Drosophila melanogaster: one gene and its partners. The protein of the gene in region 4 interacts with the protein of the main gene of each other region in a pairwise test. Each region holds a gene or a part of one and is shown on either strand. Other genes may lie near its edges. The genes, in order: CG16972, Nf-YC, Archease and DnaJ-1.

Region 1 (7,772 bases), on a different chromosome or scaffold from region 4:
TTGTTTTTCTTTTAGAAAAAATAAAAAGAACGAAAGAAACAAAAACACTTATTTCAAAATAGCGCATAATAAAGGCTACTACTCTCCGACTTACTTACGACTAAAATGATTGTTAGGACTACAGGGCTTAACACGCAACTTATTATAGTTTCCTATATTTGAACTATACTTGGGCAGACAGCCAAAAGCACATTTATAGATCGGGTATTCTGGGTGATATTCAAACATGGGTTTGTGTGAAAAAAAAAAACAAAAACTTTGTTCAAGGCCGAGACTCTCCACATTTCTAGTTCCGCGACACAGGTCTACGCCGATTGGGTCTGCTGGACAGCCAATTTCAACATGTGATTGGCGATACTATCTACAGTTAGGGATTGCGGGGACATCTCGATCACTTGGGACTTGTGGCGGGCATAAAAACGCTGAGCTCCATTGATTTGCGGCGCCAAATAGGTTAGCTGTCTCGGATCGGCGGCACTTATCCAGGCTTCGTCGTTCGATGCTGACTTGATGATCAGATGATCACCGGTGTTAACGCCCTCCGTGGCATCGTCGAATTGCGGCGATGGTAAGCGGTGGACCTGCAGCAGGCGGTGCGAGGGCGTGGCATGGGAAAGCTCACAGGCGATCACATGCACCTCAGACGGTTTGTTTGGTTCTTTAAGCAGCTGATAAAGCACCAGCATGCTGCTTTGGTCCAAGTCGAGGCTAGGATAGTGCGTAGCAGCCAGGCAACGGCCCAGCGGCCGGCCCAAGTCGTAGTTCATCAGAGTATCGCCGCTGCGATGATCCCAGACGGTGATGCGCATCTGGCCGTAGCCGATAAGGCGATCCTCTGAAAGGCACTCAATGTGACGCAGCTCGTGGCGCAACTGCTTAAACTCCCGTATGGAGGCCAGCGTATCCAGCGTGGGCGTCAGTGAATATTTGCAAATGCCCGAGCGCGACTTGCCCATCACCAGTTCCTGCTGCCATGCCATAACGAAGTAACGCGAATCCGCTATAGTTGTGTATATGACATGCGGCCATTCGCTAAATAACGAAAGTTGTAGGTTACGTCATTGAATTTATGCATACTGCGTGATAGTCCTCACCAATTGACAGCATCCAAGTGCACAGAGTGCATACGGGGTCGTAGTTCCTCCTCGCAGAAGTAATACACATTCACATGTAGCGAGGTTAGCTTCACCTCCCTCTTGTGATGGTCCAGCGGCCTGCTTCGCATTTCCAGGTACACCGGCGTCGAATTGTGCACGCAAATGCGGCTGCCAAACGGCGTAAAGATCTCTTTCTCTGTAATGCATCAAAGAGGCTAGAAAGATTCGTAAAGTGTATAAATGATCATAACCCACCGCTAGTCAGGCGCCGCACTCTGCCCAGGTAAACCCATCGCGGGCCCATTTTCAACTCCTGCTCGACGTCTTTGGGCTCGCGCGAAGGTGTTTGAGGCAGCTTTGGAGATGGAGATTTTCTGGCGCCATCAAAGGAGGGATTATGTCGCGGTTGATGCAGCACGTTGAACACTTTGGAGTACTTCCAGAAGGTAATGCAATTCTCCTGCAGCACAATGAGCTGTTCCAGCTCGTAGTACATATAGAGAACCTGGCCGTGCTTGGCAGAAAGTGGATTTGCTAGCGTCGCGGATCCCTGACTGAGTCGCAGCAGGCCCCCAGGAGGGGTGGCCAGGACTAAGTCAGCTGGATTGACTTTTCCGGCTTGCTGGCGAGGGCGATGTGGCTCCGTATTCGGTGGCGGTGTTGTTGGGGATGGCGGGTAAATAAGCACGGGCTGTGCATAAGGCGATTGAGCGACGGAGGGGGAATGAACGAAGGTCTTGTCAGCGGCTTCTTTGGCTGTGGAGTTGACCAGATGGCTGTGTGTAGGCGCGAATGTGTTGGGCACTTCTGGTGCCAGGTCAGCGAGCCTCAATACATTGGCATTAGGAACGGCTGCCACAGGCTCAGTCACCCTTTCAATATTCGAAGGCAGTGACTTGGCTCGTGCTCGCTTGGTCCGTTTAGTAAGGCGACTAGATTTCATTGCACTTGTCGTGTCAGTTTCAGTCTCCTTGACACCTTTCATCTTTCGGGGAGAGTTTGGCGGAGCCAATTGCTGTTGCTCCAAGCGATGTTGCTCAGGAAGACTTTTATCTGCCGGCTTCTTTAACGACGTCCGTGCTGCCTTGGGCATTGGAGCCTTTTTGGTGGTTTGTGCTGCACCGCCAGCCATCCGTTTCGATCGTCCCTGAGCCATTTCGTCCGACAGGGCGTAGCTCTTGAGCAGACTAACCTTGCGGCTACGAAGTAGCTTCGAATTAAGATGCGTGGTGGAGCGGGTAACCAAATCGCGTGCACGTGCTTCGTTCCCGAGACTGGATGCACCCATTGTAGTGCGGCGTCGTGGTGTAGCGGCAACAGGTTTGGTGGCTCCATGGGTTTTCCTATGTTTTGATTTTTTGGGTGTATCAACTGGTAAGGGGGCTGGAGTTTCCTTATCTGGACTGGTTATTGTAGGACTTTTCTTCGCTGGCTGGGAAATGACAGAAGGATGCGGCGCGCTTACGTCACCAAAGCCGCCGATTAAGTTCAAGGGCGCCGGTGAGATGTGAGACTCCTGCCTGCTGTGTGATGGATTCGGGGGCGAGGCATTGCTTGTAGCCTTAATAATATAAATTGATGGCTTCGTCTCACGCGCCTGGCGCAAGCGTTGCTGCATGCTCTCCAGCAGCTTGGATTGGGCAGGTGCGGCAGCCTCGAAGATCTTAGTAAAAGCCGCCTCAACGGACTGAACCCGACCCTTCTCAGACTCATTGTCTATCTGATGTTTCTGATAGCCGTCGCCATCAATGATGGATCTATGACGTTGCGGCTCCTGTCCTTTGAGCGATGGACGCCTCTCTACATCCTTTAAGGACTTGGAACTGGCTATAAAGTCGGTGGTTTTGGGTGACCTCTTCGTAGAGCATTCTTCCTCTTCCGCAAAATAAGAGTTGTACAAGTGATTCAGTTTTCGCTTATGCTCTGCAGGCATTTGAGAGTTGAAATGGACATCCGCATCCCCCGCCATCCTTGAAACGGATTCTGATGTCTGAGGCGGGGAGGGTTCTTCTTTATCGGTGCTAAGCTCACTACTTGTGGTCAACGGTATCTTCTTGTCCTTATCCTGCTGCCTATCTCGCTCCCTTTCGCGCCGCTTGCCACGCACATCACTACGCATCCTGTCCAGTTGCTGTTGTGGTCTCACCCGCAGCGATCGGCGAGGGATAGTGCTGTTGGCTAGTTCCCTCATTGCGGTAGCCACGGCATTTGCTGTTGACAGTTCGGTGAGACCCAGATAGTTGCAGAATTCCTGTTGCTCATTCGGATACTTAACGTAAGGCCCCTGATTCCCTTCCATTTGCATCTCTGTAATTTAAATTAACCAATTAAATTTGCAATAAAATACAAATAAAAAGTCTTACGTTGGGGAGCCTGTGGCAGTTCCTCGTAGTGATACATCTGTGGTTGTTGGTTCATCTTTTGCTCCATAAACTGCTGTTGCTGTTGCATTGTTTGCACCTGCTGACGCATAACATCTAATACAGCTTTGGTTAGTTGTTGGTCTTCTGATGGCCCACGGTCGCTTAAGTTCGCCTGCATAAAATCAGTAAGTCCTGCCGGAGCAGTTGGACAAGGTTGAGCATGGGATAAGGATGCGTCTAAATTCGCAGCGGATGAACCCGCCGTTTGAGTAAGCGCGCTTCTCTCCAAGTCTGCTGTAGATGTTTCCTTGGTAAGGTTCCGCTGCTCGAAATTCGGTGAATCCGTGTTCTTTATGTCATCAACAACTGGCAGCACTATCTCTTCTTCCTCCGGCTGTTGATTATCCTGTAGCTCCTCTTCGGGTATCAATGTGGTGACAGAGGCTTTTTCCATGCCGACCACCTCGTAGCAATCGTCGTCATCATCATCTAGCACAATTGTCTCCTCGGTGGGCAGAATGTGCAAATAGCGACGATACACCGGCCGTTCCGCCGACTGAGAGCTGGCAAGCTCTTGAGTGGATTCGTCTGAGGTTTGCATGATTTCACGGCTGATCTTCTCCATATTCCGGACCAGTGCTTCACGGAATTCGGCAAAGTTAAGCTGTTTGAGTGATGCGGTAACAGCCTCATATTGCTTGAAGGCAGCTTCAAAGCCTTCCACATCCTCGACATCGGCCCACTCTTCCCTGGGTGCCGTTTCCCAGTTGGAGACTTTCTCGGCGGGACTCATCTGCGGCTGAGCCTGACAAATGCTTGCCAGTCTTCGATCCATAGCCTCTCCATGGAGCGTATTCTTCATCAGCGGCGGATACTTTCGCTTCAGTGGAGCCACTTTGGATGGAGAGCGGCCGCCCGTTAACTCATCCTCATAGTCGTAGTGGTCACTGGCGTTGGGCATGGAGGATGAGCTGACGGGAAATTCCGTGGGACTGCTGTGTTCGCGAAGCAACTTTCTTTGCGGATTATTTGGCAGCGGCTCCTGTCCCTCGAATGCTACAATGTCGATAGGCTGGGCTGGTTCTTCCTGGATGACTGCGTCCTCGCATTCTTCATCGTCGTGGTCCTCCAGTTCGTGATCATACACCTGACAAATATCTGGGCGTTCCTCCTCCATCGGTGTATCGTCTAAGAATGTGGCGTTTTCGTTTTCCTCCGGAGCCTCGTCGTCGACCAGATCCTGGTGCACTAAAGGCTGTTCTAGCGCTGCATCACTAAGGTACACATTGTTTCCAGCCGCCAATCGTGCCTCGGCCACACCCATATCCTCCACGACCTCCTCGATGTAGGCAGTCCCATTGAGACACTCATTCGCATCACTCTCCTCGGACAGCAAGCCCAGCAATGCACCGGTACCGTTTCCGGCCATCATGATGGCCCTGGCGAACTCCTGCTCGCATGCCACTCCCTGGGTAGCTACTATGATCTCACAGCAGTGTTCTTCTCCTAAAACGACCATGTTCTCTCCATCCACAGCCTCATAGATCACACACTGCTCCCCTTCTTCGGCCACCTGAAGTTCATGTTCAGCCTCATCATTCTCGTGGGACAGCATTTCGAACTGGTCAACATTGCCATTTGTCAGCAGCATGCCGGGGCTTAGTGCAATGCCCGGATCCTGGACAGATTCGGGTGAGTCTAAAAAACAAGAAAAGTATGCGATTGAGTGAGTTTACCATATTAGATATTTCATATTTTCAATTGGGATAAATGTTCATAATCAATTAAATGGAAGAGATTTCCTTGTATAGTTAATGGAACAGATTAACAAACCGTTGATCTCGATGACCTCGTGGCTGCTGTACGAACGTTTTGCCGGTGTGCAGGTGGCCCATACTGGGGCTTGGTGTGTCTCTTCGGTCATCATCATTTGCCGGCGAAGTCCGAATATTAAGGGTTCATTCTGAGGGACGAAACTGGAAGACGGCTGCTCCTCCGGCCAGCCCTTGAAGCCGCTGCCACTCGAGATAAAGCTGTGGGTGTCCGAGTCGTCGGAGATCACGTGCAGGTTGCTGTCCACGGCGGGGTCCAGATCTGCTCCCGTCCTCGAGGATCTGGTGACAGATGCAACAAGATCCGTGGGATACTCCCGATCCTCAGCCACGTCCGATGCGTCGCCTGGAGCTTCGCTGGCCGTATCTATCTCGTCGCCTTCCAGCGGCGAGTACCGGTTCAGTAGGTGTTCCTCCGCCGCTACGTAGGCCATCAGGCTGGCTTCTCTTCTGGACATCGCGTTGGTACGGGGAATGGGATTGGGATTATCTAGCCCTCGTCGACTCGTTTAGTAATTGTGGTAGGATTTCTTGTAAATTTAGCACGTGAAATTTAAAAAATATACTTGATGCTGTCTACAAAACAATGCCCGAACTGACTGTGGACGATCATGATTACATTATCATGGCTTGGTCGGTTTCCTTCGATTGTTATTTTTCGTATATCTGCGTGCTGTGCGTTGTATATTTCTTATTTGATAGGCTTAATATTTTAAGTTGCTTTATCCTGTGTGACCGTGGGAAACACCGTAGTATTATCTCACATCGCCATGGCCAATATGCCTCTTAAAATACCATCGGTATTATTTTTACAGTGGGATCAATCAATAAAATATACCTTTAAAATGAAAAAAAAAATTTTAATTGTGAATGTTATTAGTAGTGTTCGTTGTTTAATTCTATGACACTTTTTTTTTAATAATTGTTGTGACAATATTTACATTTATTTATAAACAAAACACTTTGTTATATCCTAAAATATTATACATTTCATTGGGGTGATCGACTCATAAGGATTTAATAGAGTTAATACCCTTTTAACGTATAATAATACAGATTTGTACTTGCTTAATATAAAAGTTCTAGCTTAGTAACATAAAATTTGCCAATTTAAAGTTATTCCCAATATATCTCGATCAGCTGTTGATGTTTACAAAATCCGCGTTAGCTGGTATTCATCGCACCAGGCATATGGTATATTTGGACAAACACCGATGCGGCCACTCTGCTCTCACGGTACTCGAAATTGTGAGAAAAGAAATGAAAGAATCTAAAAAAAAACCCAAGCTAAACACACCGCACTTACGCCCCAAAGAAGTTCCCATGCGCCCGCGCGCTGATAACGCAAGTCTGAGAATCTGAGACCAATTCCGCTCCGAGTCTGAACGTGAATCCGAGTCCGAAACCGATAACGAAAACTGAACTGAGTAGCTCGGTCGTGAAATGGGAATTGATATATAGCGGGCGTCGTCGTAGCTCAGAACAAATAACTTACAGCTCTCGAAGCGTGAACGTCGCTGTCGTCGAGTTTCCGCCTTCAAAACGAGCACTGAAAACAGAAACATACTCTCCGGAATCTAATGTTCGCCCGTTAGCCGGATTCTAAATTAAAATTAAATTAAATTGTGAAAATTCAATAAGTCAACGATGGAGGCAAATGGCGATACCAGCGCCTGCAATGGGTATTCGGACAAGCAGCGGAAGGATGTGCGCGTCTGGTGCGATGGATGGTGAGTCATCTACATTACATTTAGGGGCCTCCAGGAATTCGGTCCACAATGTCTAACGGTTCTTAGGGCAGCCCATTGCGTCACGTCGTTACTCACCGCTAACGGTAAAGTGAGTCAAAGCATAACCATTCCGCGTCGGTGCCATCGATTCCATGCCACACCACGGCCAACCGAACCCTACTATTTCAATTCCAATTTGGTTTCCAATACCAATAACCGTAATCAGTCGACGATAAACTAAACCCCATTTTTAGGCGTGCTAAGAAGCGTCCAGGGTTCCTCAATTGATTAGCAAATCTTTGTGAAACGGTGCCGTCTCGCTGCCCGTTCCAAATATCCACCCATTGCCGTCGTCCGGCTGAAATGTCTACATAATTCAGGTTCAAGGTCTCTCGGATCCGAAATGTCCATATTCTCCACGCTTGACCGGGACATTTGGCATTATATTTATATTTATACGCTATGCAATCTATTTATAATTGTACGCTTACAGTGGCTATTCTAAAACAGATTACTCAGAGAAAATGTTTAATTTGCCTTTTCCGGCGATACTCGCACTCTTTATGGCGCTTAAGCTAACAACAATACATATATCCCAAATTAGTTTGCACAATAATTAATTGCTATATGTGATAAACCGGGTGTTCGGTTCATCTAATGCATCTATGTATTTTAGATCCGCATATAGATACTATTGACGCACTTTGCCTTGTTTTGGGCACCATCAAATGGTTCTATAGGCATTGCGTT
Region 2 (4,938 bases), on a different chromosome or scaffold from region 4:
AGCATGTATAGCCACTCCAGCGTGTGGAAGCCTCGGAAGCCGGGGAAGATGCGATACAGCTGGCCGTACATCATGGCCACGTACGACATGTACAGGGAATACCGGGGAATGTACAGATCCGCATCGAAGAGCAGCGGAAAGAGAGAGAAATAGCCGGCAATGCCAAGGACATAGGCGTATCTGGCATCCTCCCGGTTTACCAGCGTGAGCAGACTGAAAAAGGGTGGGCCTGTTAGTAGGATTCCTTCATTTCGAATTAACTGAGGGGAAGGGAACTCACCAGAGCGGAAGGAGCACCATTAAGATGGCCTTCTCGTGCACATGCCAGCCGAAGACGAAGGAGGAACAGCCGCACAAAACCACCGCTCGCAGGAAGACCAGCGGACTTTGTCTGCAAAGAGATGGCGGATAAGTTTGCTGCGATATCTTGGAATCCAAACGAGGATTTCCTCACTTCTTGGCACTGCGAAAGAGCTTCACCAAAATGGGCAGCATGAAGAGAGCGGTCAGGGCAAAAGTCACAGGCGGTGTGATGGCTGGCAGCACCGAGTGCCTGACCTCCTGGACCAATCCTGACGTCGTCGAGGCACCGCCATCCTGTACCTTCAAAACTCCGGCGGCCAACTTGTCGGCGGCATTGTACAGCGCCCAGAAGTTGGGTGCCCAGTAGGCGTGCGTTAGGCCACGCTTGAAAGGAAACAGACGGGAGAGGACTTGCGGCAATTGCTGCCAGAAGGGTCCGAAAGACACGGCGAACGGAGTAAGTCCAACGACCAGCAGCTTGACAACGGCACCCACCGCAGACACCACACTCGCTTGCTCCAGGCAATAGAAACGCAGCAGGTAGACCCCAAAAGCGGGCGCCATGTACAGAAAGATGTGCTTAAAGTTGAGCAGCACGGCGAAGGCAAAGGCGCTCCAGAGGAACCGCTGCCGGATGAGGGAACCGATGCTCAGGAGCAGTATGCCGAACAGCAAGCCATTGTACTGAAAGTGAATGTGGTCCACGAAGATCAATCCCACGTTGAGGAGCAGCAACATGGAGGCGGCAAAGAACTGCTGCGTATCCCTGCCCAATCCCAGTGAGCCCAGGCAGCTGCGCACGCCGAGCACATACACTAGATCCGTAACAATCACCGAGAGCCGCTGAAAGTAAACGGTGGCCTTGGACTCGTAATTCAGGTTATCCACCACCAGCATTCGTGGATCCACGTACTTGGCCACCTGCGAGAGCAGCCACTCGAAGTAGGCGAAGAACGGCGGATAGTCCAGTGTCCACTCGCTGGTGGCGTCCACATACCACTGATTCAGCGGCAAACTGTGGGTGATGGCCAGCCAGTTGCGATGGACTTCGAAATCCGTGGAATGGCTAAGGATGAAGTTGATTTAGTGGGCTTGATAAGTGGACAGAGCACTGCATTTACTAGGCTGGAATCAGCAGGATCTTTAGGCCGGTGGCTATGCCCACCAGGTGCCAGAAGAGGTCCTTCATCTTCGTTTCTCTCAGGGATTGGGATTGTAGTTTAGATTCGATGCATTCCTTATCAGCGGTAAGTGCTGTCCGATCTGGCTTGAAAGCGGGCAGAATGCGATTGTCGATTGTGCCGGCTAAATGTGGCTTGGAAGTAGCCAGTTAGCCCGACTAAAAGCTATCGTTATCGGGCTGTCCAGTTTTCGCCCTCACCGCCGCCTGGTCACACTGACGCTCGCGTGTATGCATGTGTGTGTGTGTGCATTACATTACGCATTTGCTTTGCGAATTAGAAGCTAATTAAAGCGAATATTGTGGACTCGAGCCGGTCGCCAGAGTCCCACGGTTGCCGCCAACGCCGAGCTAAGGTCTCCAGCCAACCGGGCCATGTACGCCACCAACAATGGCGGCACGAACAAGGCGCCAAACAGGTAAGTTCCGCCTCCGCCAGCAAAATCTAGCGCCCCTCCCCCAAAAAAACAGGCGGTACAGCCGAGATTTTTAGTGTGTGCGCCGATCCTTTTTGTTTTCATTCTGCGATTTGTGCATGCCAAATAATTTGAATGAAACTAATGTGAATGCCCTACAGCAATGCCACCTCCATGTTCGACAACACCATCACAGTGACGCCCATAAAGATGGAACTGGGCCAGGCGTATGCCAAATCGCAAAATTCAGCGGCTATGCAGCGAAGAACACCGAATGCAGTGGTGGTCACCTCCTCCTCCACCGTCTCCTCCGCCCAGCAGCAGCAGCAACAGCAGGGCCAGCAGCAACAGCAGACGGTTCCCATGGCCAGTTTGGTGTCCAACGCCTGTACGCTGGTTAATCCCAGCATGAGTGTGACGGTGGCCACCACCGTTGCGAGCGGCGCCAAGGAGAAGACCACGAAGGCCACACGAACTCAGGTGGCACGCAAACCGCCGCCCACCATCGACAACTTCTGGCCAAATATCGTGAGCGAGGTGCACAGCATCGGCCAGGTGGATGCCAAGCACCAGGTGCTGCCGCTGGCGCGCATCAAGAAAATCATGAAGCTGGACGAGAACGCCAAGATGATTGCCGGCGAGGCGCCGCTACTGTTTGCCAAAGCCTGCGAGTACTTCATTCAGGAGCTGACTATGCACGCTTGGGTGCACACCGAGGAGAGCCGGCGGCGTACGCTCCAGCGTTCGGACATTGCCCAGGCCATAGCCAACTACGACCAGTTCGACTTCCTCATCGACATTGTGCCGCGCGAAGAGATCAAACCGTCGTCGGCGCAAAAGACCAAGGATGGCAGTACATCCAGTTCGAGCGGAATGGCGGGCGCAGCCAGCAGTGCCGCCTCCACCTCCAACACAGCCACCTCCAATGCGGCCGCCTCCGTGGCGGGCAATGCTACCGCCACGGGCAACTTTGTAGCCAGTGGTTCCACCGTACCTGCGACCACCGCTGGTGGCCTCAAGCTGGACACCACGGGTGCAACCAATGCCGCCGAGGTGCTCGGCTTCAGCACTGTCAACTCGGACATCTTCTCAGCGCAACTGCAGCAGCAACAACAACAGCAGCAACAGCACGCCGCCCAGCAGCAGCAGCAACAACAGCAGCAGCAACATCACCAGGCACATCCACAGCAGGTTCAGATTATTCAGCAGGGCGCTGGTGGCCAACAGTTGCAATACTTTATCGCACTGCCGAGTCAGCAGGCGGCGCAGCTCGTGCAGCAGCCGCAGCCCGCGCAGAATCATCTACCCATCAACATTTTGTCAACCCAACAACCCACCCAGCAGTTGATACTGACCGCCGGTCCCAATGGTCAGCTGACCGCAACGCCAGCGCCGCAAACGACTGCCCAGCAACAGACGGCGCTGCTCCAGAATCTCGCCCAGCAGCAACAGCAGCACCAGCAACATCAGCAGCAGATTCAGCTGCTGCAGCAAGTGGTTACGCCCACGGGGGAGCTGACTAATGTGCCGGTAGGTATCACTTGAGGTAATTGTATTGAATCCCAGATTAAGACTTGCCTTTCCCATTGCAGATCGCCATCAATGCCAGTCATTTGAATCTCCTGCAGCGACTACAAATGCAACAGCAGCAGCAGCAGCAACAACAGCAGCAGCAACAGCAGCAGCAGCAACAACAGGTCATCATACCAACCCAACTGCTGACGACACAGCAACTGCTCCAGCTGGGCGGAGCACCCACAGTGGCCCATCAGCAGCAGCAGCAACAGCAGCAGCACGCCAATCTCACGCAGCAGAGCAACGCCAGTGCGGTGGCCAGTGGCACGCCGATCTTTATCAACTCGACCATGACTGGTGCCCAGGCGGCGGCGACGCAGGCGCAGCAGCAGCAGTCGGCGCAGCAGCAACAGGCACAAACGATCTCCACCATGTCCACGGATCGCACATTAACCGGCGGATTTCGGTAAAAGCTGGAAGTATGATATCCGTACCAACGGACGGACGGACAGACGGACAGTTGGCAATCATATCGAAAGCATCGGGAGGCATTGGAATCGGGCATTGGCAAGCGGGCATTGATTGCGCCATCCCCTGTCATCCAGCACAATGTATAATATTATAGTTTACGTAGGTGTATACGATTGTATATCGCGGGGGAGATTATATATAGCTAGTGTCTAAGTCGTAGGCATCTGTGTAGAAACGATTTCTCAATTGTAATTTATTGCTGACCCTCCCGCCCCCTGGCAGCAGGTTTCACCTTCTCCAAAAAAAAAAACCGCCACCTCCACCACTTTTAAACCTAGCACTTAGAGAGAATAATGGGAAATCGAGTGTATTAGTGTATGTATGTGACGGGTGACGGATGCCACCGGTCCAAAGCATAACCCAGCGTTTCGCGTGGCATCCGCGCTCTTTATTATGTATTTGTACTTCTAACTAAGCTAAGATCTGATAAACAATTATAAGCCACCAAGGACTATGTGCCAGAAACTCCTGCGCTAACTGTATTCACTTTCTGGCCAGGATCTTGTTGATGTCCTGCAGTTCGCGGGTGCTCCATGGTTCCAGCGGATCGGGCGGCGATTGCGTTCGCCGCGTGTAAGCGGAACGTCCCCGCTGGCTGCGCTCGTCCGGATCATCGCTTTGCTCCGGCGAAACTCTGGCGCCCAAGGAAAACGTGGGATTAAGATATGAAACGGACACTGGGATGGGAACTCACTTGTTTCGGCGACGAACACGAGCACTTTTGGCGCGACGAGCGGCCTCATCCTGTGCTGGCTGGCACTTGCGCAGGTGAAACTGCTTCATAGTGGCGTGCACCTCCTCCGCCGTGGGTATATCCTCGCTGTCCTGTCCACCATTGCCGTCCTCGGTCTCCACTTCGGCTTCCTGTTCGATGGTCAGCACCTCCTCCGCGACGGCTTCATCGAAGTGGAAGCCCTGCTAGTGGGTTTACATTTTGCACTCAGCTATTTCACTTTTTTTATCCACTCACCGTGTCCACATCCAGGCCAGGTG
Region 3 (4,120 bases), on a different chromosome or scaffold from region 4:
ACTTTGACGCACTCGAAAAGCTGAAAGCTAAAAGCGAATCGACCAACTGGCCGTTTGTGTGTGCGTGTGTGTCCGCGGGCTATTTGCCTTCATACTTTGTTTGTTCTTTCGCACGCTCATTCGTATGGCTCGTCGACCGCAGCGTTGCTTTTTTTTTAATATCAATCAGCTGTAAAAGCGTATATTTTTCAGTTCGCCGTTCTTCGCCCGATGTTCCAAGGAAAAATCATCATACTCGTGCACGCACGCACCCACACAAATACAAGAACGGGCCCATATGTTGGGCGACGTTGCCCGGCAAATGTTTTTTTTGTTGTTTACTTTCTGGGTTTTGACGGTGCGGTCAGCTGTTTCAAAACAAATCGCTCGGTGTTACCAGCTGACTTCGCTCATCGGCCACTAAATAACATCGGCTCACGCGAAAATCATCCGAATAATACTGATTCGAGAATAGCGCGTTATTCAAAGGAAATCGGTTTTTTGAAAAGCGTTAATATTTGTTGATATCGTCGTGGATTGATATTTAGAATTAGGGATTGCTTAATCGTATAGATATTTATTACGATTTACATTCATTGAACTAAATTATTGTTGATAAAAAAATATGTTTGTGTTTTTAGGCCCCGCATTCTCTATACTTTATGTCGAACAAATCAAGTCAATCATAACATTAAAACTATGGCCTTGACTTGCATTGTTAACTGCCCTATTCGACATGACTCCCCAAAAAGAAGTACAACTTAATTCTTTAATGCAACCCAACGCGTCAGCAACTCCTGAAGGCTGCCGAATAAAAAGTGCATTGAACTGGGGCCTGGGAAAGGACAACAAATTCGGCATTTGTCTGGGAATTCAACACGTTGCCAATTCACAAAGCAGTGGGCAAAAAAAAAGTGAATAGTACACAAAAAATTCGAAGGCAAAAGGGTAAATCTTGATTCCGGAATCAGACCGGTGAGAAGGAAGCCAGTCCTAATTGCATTTGCAGCCGCACAATCGAGTGGTTTCTTGATAAGTCATCCTCATCGACAAGGGATGCAGTCGCAGCACGAGAGATTGCAAATTTTTCGGGGCTTATGCAGCGGTTTTTATATCGTTTTTTGGCATTTCACTTATGATTAATGGAGACAGGCAAAGGGGTTGAAACAGAACAGTCACATTTAATTCCCGGCGATCGCCGCTGGATCAAATGTCAATTATCACGAACACCTCGTAGTTGCTGGCCTCCACGTCCTGAATGATTTGCATGGCCGAGTATGTGATTGCCTTCACTTCGGTGCCCTGCGGATGTTTCCCCAGCTCAAATGGTTCCCCGTAACAATGGCAGGAAATCTCGAAGTTTTCCACATCGAACTTGGTGATCTCCAGCTTCTTGCACACCAGATACGGTTCGGCAGAGAACAGGAACAGCAGCTCGTCCAGAAAGTGAAAGAGTAAGCTCTCCAGATCATCTCCATGCGCTTCGATTTCAAAGCACTGCTCCACGGACACGTAATCCAGTTCGGTCATATATCCAAACATGGCCACTCCGCACTGTTCGAACGCCTCTTTCAGCGACGATCCCCATCCGTGGATTCTGTCAAATGGGAAGGATTCCAACATCATCCGTTTATATTAAGTAAATTAATTATGTCTATTGTAGCCGTAAGTTATAATTTATATACAAAACTGCTGCCTTTTAGTGGCGTAGTAAAAGAATTATTTATGATCTACTACTTAATAATAGTCTTGTTGTTTTAAGCGATAGTAGTATAATATAAAAGTCAGAAAAAACTTGCATTACATATAATCTTCAAAAAAGCAGATACATTTGACGTTTAAAAAGCCGTATTCCCTAACTATGAACATAATACATAGGTTTGGGAAAATATGAAAAATTATAATGGCTTTAAAATATGTATAAATTAAAATAAATTCTTTTTCAGAATGTTTGCTATATCTCAAATTCTAATACGAAAGCGCTTATTAGAATCTAGTTTATACGATCATCTGGATTTTTCATTCACAAATAGCGAACCACCCTACTCCACATGGCTAACGGGCACACTTGTTGTTTTTGTTGTTATCTTACTCACTGAACATCCGCCGTGTGATCCAGGTCTGCAACGCAATGTGATGAAATATTTAGCAACAGATTATTCTCCTGCAAATCGAAGAACTACTCACACTCGTACTTCATCTCCGGCAGCAGGAAGTTCTCCCTACTGAATTCCACCTCCATTATTGTTAGTTATAGCTAAAGTTAAAGTAAAATTCGCGGACAAAAACTATAAACAAACCAGCAACCGCTTAGTGTGACCATCTATGCGCAGGGGAAAATACCTACTGAAAGGAATATACCGAGCTCCAATAAGAAATTGTTAACATACAAATTACAGAAAATACTGAGCTCAAACCGGGAAATGTTAACATACAAATTTTAATAAAATGTATAAAATTGTTTGTAAGAAATATTTGGGTTTTATTTAATAAAGAGTAAACTATAAATTATAAAGATTGAATTATAAGATAAAAGTTTCTATCAAGCTTTTAAATTCGAAATTGTTAAAAATATCTAAAAATACCTAAAGGCTTCATTTATTTTTAACTTTGTAATTTAAAAAACTTGTAATTTAAATATGCATGTCAAATGGGAAGGATTCCAACATCAGAAGAGAAGAAAAATAAAAATAATGCTTCCTCCTTTAATAAAGTGTTTACAAAATGCTTCCCACGGCCCTTTTAGTTAAAAAAAATATATCTAAAAACGTTACAGAACGAAAGAAATAAAATTGTGCTAAAGGCTGTGATTGTAATAAAATTAAGTAATTTTGAGCAAAATTAAAGCAGAATTTCCAGTTTATGCCCACCATTTGTTATCGCACTTAAAGTGCTACAAAGTGCTGGCGCATGTTTTCAGCCCAGTTTTGAATTTCTGTAAGAGCGACCTTGTCCTTTCATTAAATCGCAATCAGCCATAACAACTGAAGCTGCAACCTTGTATTTTCATTTGCCAAAAGAAACAGTCCACAAAATCTTCTTCTGGCCTACCGGCAGCATTGCCGTCAATCGTTACGATTGTCAATCACGTCGCTTGATTTATTCAATCCCATGAACTTGAGCGCTGGCTGTGAGTACTTGATTTCATACTTGAATAATACCCATTGACGGACATGGGATTGTCTAATAAATATTGCCTCATTAAATTCAGATCACTTTTCAACCAGCGGTGATGGGTTATTGTTTGAAATAGACAGCGAAGGAAATATTTATTTCTAAGGTCGTTCAACTCGTTGATGTAAAGTTCAAGAAATATTTAGTGTGTTAAGAGAAATGAAAAGTTATTTTATAGTTAAAGTGTTTGTATTATTTCAAATGAATTTTGTATTTACTTTTTGTTCACCTTTTGGGACATTAATATGAATTATTATCAAACATGCTATAAAATTATATGAAATAATATTAATAATAACTTGCTAAGTAATGGTTATCAGTTAGTGCGCATCTCGGTCAATTAAATGATTCTACGCATTTCTAAAGGAATTTATGAATGATTTCTGCTGGTGATTTACGACCGTTTTGTTCAATTTTGTTCATTTTGCACATGAGGAAACGCGACTTGGGGGTGTCAAACTCTAAGCCGAGTTGACAAAGCTCAATTTTGTGCCCGGCCATATTATGGCTTTCAAACATTTTCCTGCTATTTTTGTGGTTTTTTTTTTATTATGGCTCATTTGGCTGCTGCTGCCACTTTTGGTGGAAGCTCTTTTTCTCTGGTTTCCTACGTCTTCGAGTGGTTCAGTTGGCTACGGGAGCTCGCCTGATTCACGTCGCGTATTCGGCGCAAATAACTGTAAAGCTATTATTATTCTCGAATATTTGCGCGCCTTTGCGTACGAGTTCCAGAATTTCATATTTGGCTACACTATATATTTGGAACAACCAGAAGTAAATTGCCTGGAAGTGAAACTAAAGCTCGGGAGTTCGGAAAACTCAACTAAACTAAGTAGCTAGGTAACTTGTTTTGTTAAATAACTGACCGTTGGTCAACTTGGTTGCAAATGCAACCGCTAAACTGAAGAATTGCCAAATATTATCATACGTTGTTGCTCTCGCGTTGCATGACTGGCTGCCGCCTCTA
Region 4 (4,399 bases):
CAATGATTATACAATTGCAAATGCAACTTAACACTCAACATAAGGATAGTGAAAATGTGTGACAAATGATTAAATTACGAAATCCTTTTGAAGAGAAAACAAATGAAAATAAAATGTGAAATTTAAAATAAAATTAACATGGAATTTCTTTTTATTGATTCTCTTTTTGGCTTTCGGGGATTTCAGGTTTTGGAAAAAGGATTTTAAACAACGATTTTATTTTAAATTTCATCTTTTCCACTCGACGTTTTAAACAAACGTTGCCAGTGATGCCAGATGGTTTTTGAAATGTAACACACGATCTATACACGCCAGGTGGCGTGTTGCCCTCTGGAAGTTTCCACATGTGGAGACTTTTGAATTGTTTGGCGCGCTAGTTATATATATTTAAAAATAGAAGAAATTGCCAGCAATACATGTTGTTTTGGTTTTAGCCACCACATTTTGATTGCCACCACGTGAAATCTAGCAATTTCTATAATGCTTGCAACCCACTGACCCAGAAACGACACTTGATGTGTGTATAAGTAATTTTATTGTTTATAACATAATAGAATTGGTACTAAAACGTACTATGTCCTTACGGCGTATAAATCTATAAGTGTTCTACTAACTGATGTAACCTCCCCGTGTTGGAATGCCGAAAATGTGCTTTGCTTGAAAAATGGTTAGTTACTTTAAATTTATAATACCTCATTTATTTAATATTTTGTTTTGGGATTATTATGTATAAGATGTTGAGGCACCGATTCATGTGGCGGTAAACAAAACAACTTATGGAATTTGTGTAATGCTAAATAGCTAATAATCGATCAGTCTCCAACACGAAACGGGCTACACGGGCTGCTTTATGTGTGTGTGTGTGTGTGTGTTGTTCTCTTTCCTAATCCTATCCAGCGCTTGCATCCTCGGCCAATATCTACAGCTCTTCGCTTGGCACACTCACTAGCTTAGGGCTACAATTGGTTAGGCTAAGTTGTCTTACGAGTACGTACGGTAAATTAAATATAGGCCTTAACTAAAGTGATAACAATTATATGCGTGTGTGTGTGTGTGTGTGTGGCTGGCACAGCTCTAGCCTAGTTGGGCAGCAGCTCGGACAGCTGATTCTGCAGACTGGGTGCCAGTGTGTCGGGAAACTTAATGTCGAAGGAGACGATCAGATCGCCGCGCCTCGATGGCTCCTTGGGCACCGGCAGACCCAGTCCGTTGATCCGGCGCGTTGTGGTGGGCTTGATGATCTCGTGGTTCGGATTCACCTGTATCCTGCTGCCCTGCAGCGTGGGCACACTAACCAGTGCTCCGCACAAGGCCTGCTTCAGACTGATCTGGGCTGTATACTTTAGATCGATTCCCTCGCGTTTGAACAGCGAATGCGGTTTGTCGCGAATGATGAAGACGATGTCAGCTGGCGTCTTGTTTGGCGCCGAATCACCCTCTTGGGGGAAGGTAATCTTGGTACCGGCCTTCCAGCCCGGCTTCACTGTGATCCTCAGCACCTTCTCCTCCTTGTACGGCCCATTGCTTCCGGTGGCCATGCGTGAGATTTTCATCTTCTTGATGCATCCCTTGTCCACTTCCTCCAGCGACACGAACAGATCATGCTCGATGGGCGGATCCTGCTGGCGCTTGCGACTGGGTGCCTGGGCATTAAAGGCAAACATATCGTCGCCGCCAATGTTCCAGAAGATCTCGTTGGTATTGCCGCCCTGACCGCCACTAAACATGTTATCGCCGCCGGTAAAGAACGCGCCAAACGGATCCGACGATCCAAAGAACTGGGCAAATGTGGCCCTCGGATCGCCGTGGAACTGGTAAGTGTACGCTCCCGGCTGACCGCCGCCATCTGGTCCCGGCTGTCCGCCCTTCAATCCATCCTCACCGTAATTGTCGAAGATGTCGCGCTTCTTTTTGTCCGACAGCACCTCGTACGCCTCGGCGATCTCCTTGAAGCGCTCCTCCGCCTGTGGGCTCTTGTTCTTGTCGGGATGGTATTTGAGTGCCAGTTTGCGGTAGGCCTTCTTGATCTCATCGTCGCTGGCCTTGCGCTCGAGGCCCAGAATCTTGTAGAAGTCTTTGCCCATCTCTCAGCTGAAAATATAGGGGAAACACAAACGAACGAACGCTATAGATTAGAATGAATACTGATTGCCAGCTTGCTGGGTTGGGGCGATGGAAAGTGCTAGAAGCACAGAACAGCACAGTTGTGCAACTGCCGTGTTGTCACGCGAGTGACGTATGTAGTCACCATCAACGAGAGCTCCGCTCCCGATGTGCTTCTTTCAGCAGATCAAATCGATGCGCCCACATGTGGCAATATGTCCAACGAAGCTTACCTTAAATGTAAGCGATTGTCTGGGAATCCGTAAAAGTTCAAAAATCCAAGTGGAAAAGTGCAAAATGCAATGGCAAAGTGCAATTGTTGGTATTGTTCACTGTGTATTCACACTATTTATATTTTCACGGGGCAATGTTCTTTAAATATTTATGAGTTTTGTCTCTTTCTCGCAATTGATTCAATTCAATTGTTCTTCTTCGCTTTTTTCTTTATCCACCAAATGTGGCTTGCGCACTAAAAACACACCCTACTTCAGAGTTTCTTTCTCTTCAAAATTTTGTTTAATAATGAGCGGGATTCGTGCGTCAACCTCATTTTATAGGTTCGCCCTCGTCTACGTCGAAATTTCTGGATGCTTCTCGGATTTTAGGGTTGTATCTCGAAAACGTTTGACTGCGAATGTCAATATCGATATGCTAACCGATAGCTGTCGATGTTTTAAACACAGTGCACTGTTTTTAAATCGCTCCCCATTTATATATATTTGTGCATGCTTTTGGCGGTGACTCTTCTTTATATGCTTCTTATGCTTTTACGATTATTATTAGCGCTTATTTGATTGCAAATGCCAAGGAAAGCGTGACTGTGATGGCGAAATGCGGAAAGTACTCCTTAAATCTCATATATCGCATAAAACTATCGGTTCTGGAATGTTTCGTGTAAGTCTGCGAAGATAGAGATCGATCTATTTTGAGGATACATTTGTTAATATTATAAGGGATTCTTCTACAGGGGTCAGATTGCTTAAAAACACACAGAAAAATAAACAAAATATTTCTTTGAAATATTGAAATATTTGAAATAGAAAAAACGTATTGACGAGGTAAGCATATTGTAAAAAGATAGGAAGGTGATGGAGAAAGTTGCACTTATATTGTTCAACCAAAGAGCTTATAATCAAAAGATCAATAGATATAAATATCTTTATATGATATAAAATATAATACATATAATATATTATAATATACAATGTATAAATTGCAAGTGTCAAATTGAATTCTTAGTGTAATATTCAAGCCAACGAAAAGTAACTGAAAGTTGAAATAAATAAATTTTTAAACTTTGCCAGTGTGACCGTAAGACCAAGACTTGGGCATTGCCACAGCTGCAATGCGTTTAGTATTTTACAGTCAGCGGCGGGCAGTCACACCGGAACGAGCACGTCTGGTAAAACAGCCGAACGGAACAACAAAAAACAATTGTAAAAATGACCCGTCGAGGCTCGTTTTAAGCGAATTTCTAGCGCAGTCAGGACGCAGGAGCAGCCGAGCAGGCCGGGATTAGGACCGGAGGAGCAGGATCATCGGGAGAGTAGAGCCGAAACCCACACTCACACACAAACGCAGCCGTATACCGCAGTATTTTCATACACACACACACACTTGAGGTGAGTGAGACGGAGGTACACACACATGCACACATACAGAGAGAAGAAAACAAGGCGCCCCACGAATTTTTGCAAAATATGGACGCGCCTTGCTAGGGACTAATTGCCAGCGCGAAGGACAACCATTGGGGCCACTTTTTGGGCCAAACTCCGGCCGACATATGCGTGTCACGTTCCACAGTCGAAGCCTTGACCGATCGCCCCGCCCACCGTTCACCGCCCCATCGCTGGAAGTATTGCGCAAACGAATGTGACCCTTAACCCTTGCCCCCCCCCCCCCTTCCACAAAGAATATCCTTTGGCATGGCGCCTGTTCAAAGGATGTCCCACTGCAGCAATGCAGCATTGTAGCAGCGACGGCAGACCCATAAAAATAGTCATTCATTCCCGCAAATAGAGAGCTGGCACATCGAAGAGAGCATACGGTCGACATTAATAGCACTTTCGCTGTAAACCCAAACATATCGCCTATATTCATTGAGTAATCCGTCTGGGTTCTAGGGACCCAAAAGTTCCCCCCAGTGAAATACCCACCCACTGCATTGTGCGGCGATAATCGTTATCAGTTGCAACTCGTGAGTGGTCATTGATATTCGCAAAAGGCAACTGGACAATGTTTGATTGTTATCAGACCCCTGATTGTAACCCAGTCAATAGCTTACATTACTCCCCAT

The links.
Region 1: the proteins of DnaJ-1 (region 4) and CG16972 interact in a two-hybrid assay, tested with the Drosophila melanogaster proteins (one large-scale study listed by BioGRID).
Region 2: the proteins of DnaJ-1 (region 4) and Nf-YC interact in a two-hybrid assay, tested with the Drosophila melanogaster proteins (one large-scale study listed by BioGRID).
Region 3: the proteins of DnaJ-1 (region 4) and Archease interact in a two-hybrid assay, tested with the Drosophila melanogaster proteins (one large-scale study listed by BioGRID).

The regions. Positions count from the first base shown.
Region 1 is NT_033779.5:13,197,251-13,205,022, forward strand, and holds the start of CG16972 (uncharacterized protein), read right to left. Parts: upstream 6,046-7,772; 5' UTR 5,751-6,045; coding exon 5,294-5,750; intron 5,159-5,293; coding exon 3,461-5,158; intron 3,405-3,460; coding exon 1,353-3,404; intron 1,294-1,352; coding exon 1,095-1,293; intron 1,033-1,094; coding exon 306-1,032; 3' UTR 1-305. Other genes in the region: Pect (phosphoethanolamine cytidylyltransferase), read left to right, coding at 6,940-7,022.
Region 2 is NC_004354.4:6,817,647-6,822,584, reverse strand, and holds Nf-YC (nuclear factor Y-box C), read left to right. Parts: upstream 1-1,665; 5' UTR 1,666-1,858; coding exon 1,859-1,902; intron 1,903-2,060; coding exon 2,061-3,429; intron 3,430-3,491; coding exon 3,492-3,884; 3' UTR 3,885-4,407; downstream 4,408-4,938. Other genes in the region: xit (xiantuan), read right to left, coding at 1-213, 281-391, 455-1,369, 1,425-1,492; iav (inactive), read right to left, coding at 4,429-4,579, 4,640-4,860, 4,916-4,938.
Region 3 is NT_033777.3:21,660,644-21,664,763, forward strand, and holds Archease (archease), read right to left. Parts: upstream 2,330-4,120; 5' UTR 2,222-2,329; coding exon 2,167-2,221; intron 2,101-2,166; coding exon 2,076-2,100; intron 1,577-2,075; coding exon 1,186-1,576; 3' UTR 543-1,185; downstream 1-542. UniProt on the Drosophila melanogaster protein: Component of the tRNA-splicing ligase complex required to facilitate the enzymatic turnover of catalytic subunit RtcB.
Region 4 is NT_037436.4:5,749,510-5,753,908, forward strand, and holds DnaJ-1 (DnaJ-like-1), read right to left. Parts: upstream 2,681-4,399; 5' UTR 2,085-2,680; coding exon 1,080-2,084; 3' UTR 520-1,079; downstream 1-519.